Linked DNA regions of Arabidopsis thaliana. The protein of the gene in region 2 interacts with the protein of the main gene of each other region in a biochemical or structural test. Each region holds a gene or a part of one and is shown on either strand. Other genes may lie near its edges.

Region 1 (4,614 bases), on a different chromosome or scaffold from region 2:
TCTATATTGCATATATGGGCCCAATGTCTCAAGTCTCAACCATGTTTTAAATTTTCAGTACTAAGCAATGCATATGTTTTTGTTAGACACAATTTTTCTTCTTTTTTTGATAAAATGTGAGTTTTTTTTTTTTTTTGAAATGTGATTAATTACCAAAATGGAAACATTGTTACTTGCAAAAATCTTTGGGACAAATAGCTTCTAAGACAATTTGTTTTTTAAAAAGCCTCAGAAACTAATAAACGCAAAGATTACAAATAGAGAACTATTACGAGCTAGGCATGGGAAAACCATTGAGAGAGCAGTCACCGCGGCCTTTGCGGTACCTTCGAGCCAGGAGAGTGTCTCTAATTAATGTGCTCCTGTCGATTTGCTTAAAGACAGAGGCAAATCTGTTATGGAGACTGTTTGTACTTGTCAAACTATGGGCCATCAGTCGACCGCAGCCATTGTTAGACACAATTAACTATGTGCGCCATCTATTATGGAGACTGTTTCCACTTGTCAAACTTTAGCACTATGCCTTTAAAGCTTTAACAAATGTTGAATGACTGAGAAACCGACAAACTTTAGTCTACTACATCTTATCTATATACTAATTACGCAACAAAAAAATAAAAAAAAATTGGATAATGTTTTAAAACATAACATATTTTACTCTTCTTCTATGACAGATGAATTACTACATTCCAAAATAAACAAGTAAAAACTCTTGTTTCGTGGATAAGCATGCACTAGGCAGTCAATTCATTTGGAGTCTCACCAAACCAAGTACCCCATGGGCCCTGGTGGCAAAAATGGTCACTAATCATGATATTTCAAGAGTTGTCATAATGGGCCTTAATTCGCTACTGGGCCTCAAGTGTGAGCCTTCGTGTTATTGTCTTTTCTAGCTTCCAGTTGTGTTAGTGTGTTTGTGCCTTTGTGTTATGGCCCTTATGGCACTCCATATTGTCACTTGAATCACTAATGTAAAGTTTATTCATTTTCAAATAAGTCGCTTTAAATAGAAGCACTAGATTTCATGATCAATCATTATCAAATTTCTTATAAAAAAAATCATAAAGCCTGAAATTCATTTCATGTAAGAATCAGAATGAATGGGTAAAGGTGTTTTTGGTTGAGAGTAGGTAGAAGCGTAGAGCTAACTCTAACCCCTTCTTTAGTTTGGTATGATTGAATATTAGTTCATATAAATATAATTGGTGAAATTTTGATGTGTCCTTGGTCCTTTAGAAGCAAACTGTAATAATGCGACCGTATGATTTGGATAAATCTAATGTGGGACAATTCATGATGTGTCGTATGCTCATTGGTAGGTTGAAAGAGAGTTGAGCACGTTCGTGTAAGATTTTTCGATTCTTATGTCGTAAAGATGAAGAAAACTCTTTAAAATTACAACTATAAAAACAAAGACAAAGACACTCTTGACAAAATTAAACCATATTAATTTGATAAGGGATTTGAGAAAAAGGAATGAAATGGTGCCGTAACACTAAGTCGCACGTTCTTGACGAGAGTCGTCCCAATCCAATGATTAATATTTGGCAATTTCATGCCCTCCCTCCCCATAGTTTGGTCGTTTATTATGCTTTACTCTTAGTTTTTTTTCTTAAAAATTATAATCTTTATTTATTTGCTGTCTTTTTTTTTTATAATTGTCAATTAGGTTAACAACTATGGTCAAATTAGAAAACATTAGTTTTTGTTAAAAGAAAATTAAAAAAAAAATCCATGTTTATTAGTGAATTAGGTTTTTATTTTGGTGGTAGTTTAGCTAATCTCATAAAACAGATAGTAATTTCATAATGTAAAAAGATATTTCTACTATACAGAAAAGGAAAAGAAAAAAAAAAACTCATTACAACGGATAATTTCTCAATTTGTATTCAAATTCAAAATTAAAAGTGCTCAAAATTAGTATTATTTAAAAGAAATACTAAAGTGGGGTGAGTGTAAATGATAAGGTGTTGTTTGGTGTAGCAAATAGCTGGCATAAGGTTGGTATTGAAAAGCTCATCTCAGAATCATCAACGGCCCAAAACACATTGCAAATTAAAGAAAAAGCAAAGATTTTCCTCATTCTTTTGCCATTATTATCTCTCATCGATTTGGCTTGCTACTTTTGAATTTACCCGTGTTCTACTACGATTCGGGATTAGGGTTTTTTCTTGAGTTAGAAAAGATTGTTTCTTGATTCTTGGGAATGGCTGGGATTTGAGGAAGAAGAAGTGCAAAAGGGTTCTTTTTTTGAGTTTGTGAATTTGCTGCGGAGATGAGTGCTTCGAGGTTTATAAAGTGTGTCACCGTCGGCGATGGTGCCGTCGGAAAAACTTGTATGCTGATTTCTTACACAAGCAACACTTTCCCTACGGTAAAGTTTCTTCCTTTTGCTCTCAGTAGTGATCTTGAAGCATTCTTTGAAAATGGGTTTTTGGAGATTATTCATCTTTGTTCTTGAATGTGATTGATTAGCTGGTAAAAATTGTAAAAATCAATTCTTGACATGTTTCTTCAGAACTTTTATTGATGCTTCCATGGATTTAGCTTCTTTGTTATTTATCTTTACCTATGAGCATTGTTCTTCTTTCATTTTGGACTTCATGTTCAATTTGTATGTATTAGTCAAATTTGCAGATATGAGGATCTATAATCTTTTCCATTATTGTGTGTGTTAATGATGATCCACTATTGTGTGTGTTTTAGTTTAACAAACTCTATGACTTGGTTACTGAATATCAGGACTATGTTCCAACTGTTTTCGACAACTTCAGTGCTAATGTGGTTGTAGATGGGAACACGGTGAATCTTGGATTGTGGGATACAGCTGGTAAATAATCCTTTTGAAACTCATCAAATCTGGTTTTCTTGTTTTTTTGTGGTTTCATTTTGACTGATAATTCTTGGGTTTGTGCAGGTCAAGAAGACTATAACAGGTTAAGACCGTTGAGTTACCGTGGTGCCGATGTCTTCATTCTTGCATTCTCGCTTATTAGCAAAGCTAGCTACGAGAATGTAGCCAAGAAGGTTAGCTTTTTGTTGATCTAACGTCTTTCATTTGATAGTAATAACTTTCGTTAAGCTGATTTTGAATTGGTTCCTTCATTTGCTTTTTTTTTTTTTTTTTTCTTTATTTCAGTGGATTCCTGAGCTTAGGCATTATGCCCCTGGTGTTCCTATAATCCTCGTTGGAACGAAACTCGGTATTGACTCTCTTCTTGTCTAAAAACTCTTTCCTTATAATAAGAAAGAGATGAATAATAATTCAAGTTTTGGAATTTGCAGATCTTCGAGATGACAAGCAATTCTTCATAGACCATCCTGGTGCAGTGCCTATTACTACAAACCAGGTACATAACTCCACAATTCTTTAAAACAATAGTGTTTTTTGCTTTGCGAGTTCTTGATCTTTAGTTGTTTGTCTGCAGGGAGAGGAACTAAAGAAACTGATAGGATCACCAATCTACATTGAATGTAGTTCAAAGACTCAGCAGGTATACTACACACATAAATAATATCTCACATGTCTTTTTGTTTGGGATTTTTGTATTTGGTAAGACAGTGAAAATGTTGATTGTTGGGTTTTGCAGAATGTGAAAGCAGTCTTTGACGCAGCCATAAAAGTGGTGCTTCAGCCACCGAAACAGAAGAAGAAGAAAAAGAACAAGAACCGCTGCGTGTTCTTGTGATCGAACATCTCTTAAAACGAAAAAAGGTTTAGGTAACAAAAGAAGCTGAAGGAAAACGAACACCTGCAACATTGTATAGTTGTTGAATCCGGCTTGTTTCGGTCTTTACTCTTCTTTTTGCTGGTGAATCTAATGAGTGAACTGAGGCCAAGAGGAGGATTCTGGGTAAGAGAAGGGGATGTGTTCTTTTCTTGGTGTGTTGTTGTTGTTGTTGTACTTTTGCTATGTAGACTAATCTCTTAATACTATGTTGTCTTTGTTTTTGCTGTTGGGGTCCATTTTGTATTTTCTTTAACAGAAATCTTAATTAATTTTTTAGTGACTTTTTTTAAGCTTCCGTTGATCTTATGGTCTTGTATTGGTATGTAATTAGATTCAGACAACGAAGAACATCTTGAGATAGATCTCTATATACAATAAGATTAGAGACATCGTTGAATTGAGGCATAGTTTCAAAGAATGGTTTACAGAAACGAGGATTCTATACACACAGGTGAGGTGAGTATAAGGAACAAAGAAAATAACAATTACAAAGGTTTTCTCCATTTTGTAATAAGACCGAAAAGAAAACAAACATGTGTAGTGTACACTTCCTTTTCAGAGTTTCCAACATTTCTTTGGAAAATACAGAGAATTCCTCTCGGGATTTGATGAGGCTTGTGTCTCGGATTTAAGTCACAGCTTGATAGGGTCATATTTCTCACCCATCAAACCACCTTTCTGTTTTATGAACTTAATGTAACGCAATGTACTTGTAAAGAAGGGATCTGAGTGGATTGTCGTGTTACCGTTGTCGCTTTGCATCTCATTGTTGATCAATTCTATGAGGCTCTGTATATCAGATGGAGTGATATGTGGATTCCCTTTCTCAAAGAAGTAAATGTACCTGTTGTATATGAAAAAAACATTTTTAGTATTGAGATGC
Region 2 (5,728 bases):
GAGGAAATGAAGCACATGACCAAGCAAGAGTTCATTGCCTCCCTCAGGAGGTAAGTCCAAAAGCAAAAACTCTTTAAAATCTTATCAATGGTTTTATATTATGTTTCTTTGATGGTAACCAGAGTTTAAAAACTGATATAACACAGGAAGAGTAGCGGTTTCTCTAGAGGAGCTTCGATATACCGAGGTGTTACAAGGCATCATCAACAAGGACGTTGGCAAGCAAGGATTGGCCGAGTTGCTGGGAACAAAGATCTTTACCTTGGAACCTTTGGTATGTAAAATCTTCAAACTTGGTCTAGCTAATTTAACAATCATTGTCTGTGGTTAATTAGTTAGTCCTGGTGTTGTTGTTGTAGCAACGGAAGAGGAAGCAGCTGAAGCGTATGACATAGCAGCAATCAAATTCAGAGGAATAAACGCTGTAACTAACTTTGAGATGAACCGTTACGACGTTGAAGCCATCATGAAGAGTGCACTTCCCATCGGTGGTGCAGCTAAACGTCTTAAGCTCTCTTTGGAAGCTGCTGCTTCATCAGAGCAGAAACCAATCCTCGGTCATCATCAACTTCACCATTTCCAGCAACAACAACAACAACAACAGCTTCAGCTTCAGTCATCTCCTAATCACAGTAGCATTAACTTCGCTCTCTGTCCTAATTCAGCAGTTCAGTCTCAACAGATCATTCCTTGTGGAATCCCTTTTGAAGCAGCTGCTCTTTACCACCACCACCAACAACAACAGCAACACCAACAGCAGCAGCAGCAACAGAACTTCTTCCAGCATTTTCCGGCGAATGCAGCTTCTGACTCGACCGGGTCTAACAACAACTCCAACGTTCAGGGAACAATGGGACTTATGGCACCAAATCCGGCTGAGTTCTTCCTCTGGCCTAATCAGTCTTACTAAAACCAATCATATAAGTTGATTGAGTCAAGTTTTTATCGTTATAAGAGACACAACTTCTTGATTCTGGCTAACACATAAGCTGACTAGAAGAATCTTAAAAATCTCACTTTTGTTTTTGATTAACTGTTGTTGTTTAGGCAGGAGTAGTTGGGGGTTGGAAATGTGGAAGAATGTATTAAACCTAAACTCGGTGGAGAAAAATGGTAGTTTTTGGGAATTAGGGGGGATGGTTTCTTTTGTATCTTGTATGTATAAGGCTATCAGCTTATCCGCAGTGTACTCTGTTTCCATTTATGAAAAAATTATCTTCAGAAAGTTCTGTGTTGCTATTTGTTTGATATCTATCTACTTGTGAGCTCATTGGTAACAAATTGACAACTCTACCGAGAGGTTGAGACTAACAAAGTTCAGTAGAAGCAACAGAGAGACACAAGTTGAAGATATTCACAGTTTGGTTGGACAAGAAAAAAAAGCAACCAATGGAGAATAACAAGCAAAACTCAAGTCAAGAAAATAAAAATCTAAAAAGAAAGAGGTTGATAAACAGTTCTTTAAGTTGATGTTATTGCTTCTACTCACTCCATTAAGAGTTGCCTATGGCGGCGGAGTTCGTTGAGGTATGAGGAAGAGGTGTGATCTTGTAGATCACAAGCGTTCACGCTCATTGTTCTTTCACCTGCCTTCTGCTGTAGCTCAGCTGGTCCGTCTTCTCCACGTAACAGCTGCACCAACTGCACAAAGAATTCACATCAAAACCGATACCAAAGATCTGTTTTGGCTCTATGAACATGGGAAGAATAGGTACTATACCCGAGTCATGTCAGGTCGCATTGCGGCAATATGATGTACACACATTGAAGCTGTTAGCATCACTCGTTGCATCTCTGTTGGATTAAACATATTTCCTAGCCGAGGATCCACAATGTCCTCCATGCTATTTTTCTCAAGAAAAGGTTTTGCCTGTATAACCAAATCAATAAGGTAAACAAAAGATCTCAAGCTGAACTTTTGATGAGTCTCAATAAAGAGTCACTGATGCATTTACCCATGCAACAATGCTCTGCCTGCTTGCTGTATCAACAGCTCGGCGACTGGTTATGATCTCTAGAAGCAATACTCCAAAGGCAAACACATCAATCTTCTCATCAACAATGCCGTGCATGAAATACTCTGGAGCTAGATATCTAAAGGGAGAAAAAACCCAATGAAACCTATAGTTTTGATCAGCAAAGCTGTTCATGGATAGTTACAAAGCTTTCTCTCTTTTACCCGAATGTTCCTTCAATGGGGAATACAACATGGTGAGGCCAGTTCTCTGGGAGCCATTTTGCAAGTCCGAAATCTGAAATCTGAATTGAGAAAATGTACAATATGTAAATGGTTCTCAAACCAACCAAATACCAAGAAAATGTTTAGAGATGTTGTCATTTGTCAAGATCATTTACCTGAGCTTCGTAATCGTGGTTGAGCAATATGTTAGAAGCTTTGATGTCACGGTGAATGATCCTTCTTGGACAAGCATTATGAAGATAACTCAGACCATCAGCTATACCTAGAGCCACTTTATACCTTATCTTCCACTCTAGACATTCCTCTGATCCTACAAAGATCAAAGAGACAATATCACAACATTGTAGAAAAAAGTACTAGACACAAGATTTTCAGTAAGAAGGAGACTTTTAAGTATACCAAAAAGCATAGAAGCGAGGCTGCCATAGGGAGCGTACTCAAGAACAAAATGCAAACCGCGATCACTGCTGAAACCGCGAAGCCTAGCTGCGTTTGGGTGGTTTACATGTGCGATTATACCGAGCTCTGAAAGGAAATCGCTCACTCTTTCTTCTTCTTCCTTGGCGTGACTCATCAGCTTCTTAATCGCCACCGTCTCACCATTAATCAAAACCCCTTTGTATACCTCCGCATGTCCTCCCTTACCAATCATGTTCTCTAACAAAAAAACAAAACCAAAACTCAAATTTCTCAATCCAAAATCTATTGAAGAAGGGTTTGCGTTTTTGTGTATACCAGGATTGAAATAATCGGTGGCTACAGCGAGCTCTTCGTAAGTGAAGTTTCTCCAAGAGGGTTTAGCCATAAAGAAGGCTTCACAGGTGAAAGCACTCTCAGAGGGAGTTAGCTTAGGTTGCTTACGACGCAAGTTTTTACGGGTGAGTTCGTAACTTGCAAGAAGAGGAATGACAGAGAATCGTCTCATGGACTTCTTCTTGATAGATTCAATCATTTTGTTCCATTGAAGACCATGGTGAGAAGACGAAACGGTTTTAGTAGTATTTGAAAATGGTGACGATGTTGATGATGATTTATCATCAGAGGAACAAGAGCTGCAACTACTGCTGCTGTTGTCGGAATCTGAAACCATTCCGAGAACACCTCTTGGCGATGATGAATCTTCGAGGCCTAAGTCGTTCCTATGAAGCTCTACCTCTTGATGATTTTTGCTTTCACTGTTCTTGTTATCTGTTAATGTTACAAGGAATACAAAAAGTCAGTTCTATAACATGTCTGCGTAAATTTTCATAAACCCAGAAAATAAATTTGCATCAATGATTTTATTTTTTTCCCCCACTTTCTTAACAAAAAGCAAACAAATTTTATGTTTAGGTTTACCTTCAACAGCCATAGCTCCAGTGGGTTTTTTTTTCTTTTTCTTTCTTTCTTCCTCTAATAAGCCTTTGAATTAAATTTCCATAAAAAAACAGATTCACAGAAAATAAGAAAGGATACAAAACAGAGAGAATTATCGAAAATACAGAGCAGAAGAGAAACAAGAAAACAGAGGTTTAATGAGAAGTTTTGTAGAATTCTTGTTTTGTTTCTTATGAGAAAAAAGTTTGTTATTCTTGGAAGAAATAGAAAGTTAGAAGAAGAGTCAGCTTTTGCTGAGTGGAGATGGATTGGAATCTCTGCTATATTTATACAACTCCACCGTAGCAATTCAACTTTTGTTTTTATTTTTTACTTTCAACTGCAAGTCAAGTCAAGTTTTGTTTTTCTTGTTTTGTTTTTTGTAATTTCTTGTTTCTAAATTAGTAGTCCTATGATTTTAATAATTTTGAGGAAGATGAAAGGATTAGAGATTGTTGCCGTAACTAACGCATTTACGATGTAAAGAACTCAAACGGTTGATATATCTGGCTGGTTTGTGGGCATTTTCGTCATATAAAATAAGACATCACCTTTGCTTGTAATGAATTGAGAGTTAATATTAAAGGGATTTTGTTATGATTATATTTCACTCAAATTCTATTCTCCGCAAAATAGCTAATTCGTGATTCGTGATTAAAAAAGAAAATTAAATAGCGCATGTGATATTAAATAGCTCTTCTAATTTAGCAAACCTTGTTATTTTTTTCTTACATTTTTGAGCTTTTTGTTTACATGTAGAATGAGATTGAAAGTGTCGGAACATTAGGTTTTAGTTAATTTTGGATGACATTTTTTGCTAGTATGATTTAAAATTATTAAAACAACGAAAATTAGTAAAAGTTAAATAAAATTCTATAACCAAGGAATAAAAAATATGGATTTGCACTTATAGAAGTTGACAAAATCATTAGTTAAAAATTCGACAAATTGTGAGTGTGCTGTCTGTTTCTTCTTCTTTATATTTTCAATTTTTTCGTGGCGGCATAAAGAGAGGAAACATATGGCAGACAAATTTGACTACAAAATTAAGCCATCGTATCATTGATATGATTTTTTAATATTCAACTATTACTAGAATATTTGTATTCACAAATACTATCACTTTCGAGCCATAATACTAATACAAAAAAACAAGTTTCTACTACATAATCCCTGTTATTTGAAAGTTAATAACAAGAGCTATCCATTCGTAATGATGGCTACAATTGTTTTGGTTTACGAATAAACTATACTACTATTTTAGTAGTTTTCTTTCTCAACGTAACCATTGTCAATTTTTCATGCGTGACAATTTGGACCCACCTCAAACTTGCACCAATGGCCATATGGGATGCCATAATAAACACAAATCTTACTTTATAATATGAGGCGTGGATAGATCCTTAATTTTCGAGGATTAAAATGACTTTATGAGTTTACCATCACCTAAGGCGTGGAGAAAAAAAAAAGAGTTATCACCCGAAGGCATTAAAATCAACCACCTTTCCGTGAGACAAACCCAAGTGAAATGTTTAGTACTTGTCTATCTCAAAACGCCAAAGTCCAAACTCAATTCATTACATTGAAACTCCATTAGTAACAGTTAGGTTTTGTTTCTCAGACGTATATAGTCCATACGCAAAAGAAAATTCTTATATATACTACTTATAGTTTTCATGGTAACATCATTAAGTAAATTACAAATATAATAATCTACAATGACTCGGTTTTCTACTTATAAAGTTTGTTGTCTGAAGTAAACTAGTTCTAGTAATTTAGAACTAGATAAAAACAAACGATCGCAGTGTAAGTAGGGAAGATTAATTGTGTTAGTTGGTGAACTAAACCCGTTAATATATACTACCACAACCATTAATTTCTATCTTAATTTTCTAAAAAATAATATACGCCCAAAAATTAAATCGCCACCAAACTCACCAATGTGAATTTTCAGTTAGAGAAGTCAGTTCAACCGATTTTCTCAATGGCTCAATGCTATTGACATTTATTCTTCATTATTAATATTATGATTCTAACTCCCAAAGAAGCGTCTGTAGCTCAGTGGATAGAGCGTCTGTTTCCTAAGCAGAAGGTCGTAGGTTCGACCCCTACCTGACGCGTTTATTTTGTATCCTTTTATCAAAAAAAGTTTTATAAGCCCATTAGCCCAGC

The links.
Region 1: the proteins of RBK1 (region 2) and ARAC5 form a complex in vitro, tested with the Arabidopsis thaliana proteins (one study listed by BioGRID).

The regions. Positions count from the first base shown.
Region 1 is NC_003070.9:28,473,689-28,478,302, forward strand, and holds ARAC5 (RAC-like GTP binding protein 5), read left to right. Parts: upstream 1-1,960; 5' UTR 1,961-2,275; coding exon 2,276-2,374; intron 2,375-2,742; coding exon 2,743-2,830; intron 2,831-2,917; coding exon 2,918-3,027; intron 3,028-3,139; coding exon 3,140-3,203; intron 3,204-3,285; coding exon 3,286-3,350; intron 3,351-3,428; coding exon 3,429-3,494; intron 3,495-3,590; coding exon 3,591-3,689; 3' UTR 3,690-4,114; downstream 4,115-4,614. Other genes in the region: VPS35B (VPS35 homolog B), read right to left, coding at 4,365-4,575. UniProt on the Arabidopsis thaliana protein: Involved in cell polarity control during the actin-dependent tip growth of root hairs, thus regulating root hair length and root hair initiation.
Region 2 is NC_003076.8:3,319,099-3,324,826, forward strand, and holds RBK1 (ROP binding protein kinases 1), read right to left. Parts: upstream 3,813-5,728; 5' UTR 3,552-3,812; coding exon 3,539-3,551; intron 3,389-3,538; coding exon 2,936-3,388; intron 2,858-2,935; coding exon 2,600-2,857; intron 2,511-2,599; coding exon 2,356-2,510; intron 2,260-2,355; coding exon 2,180-2,259; intron 2,095-2,179; coding exon 1,956-2,094; coding exon of another isoform or gene 1,929-1,955; exon of another isoform or gene 1,871-1,928; coding exon 1,721-1,870; intron 1,642-1,720; coding exon 1,486-1,641; 3' UTR 911-1,485; downstream 1-910. Other genes in the region: AIL6 (AINTEGUMENTA-like 6), read left to right, coding at 1-50, 147-274, 360-910.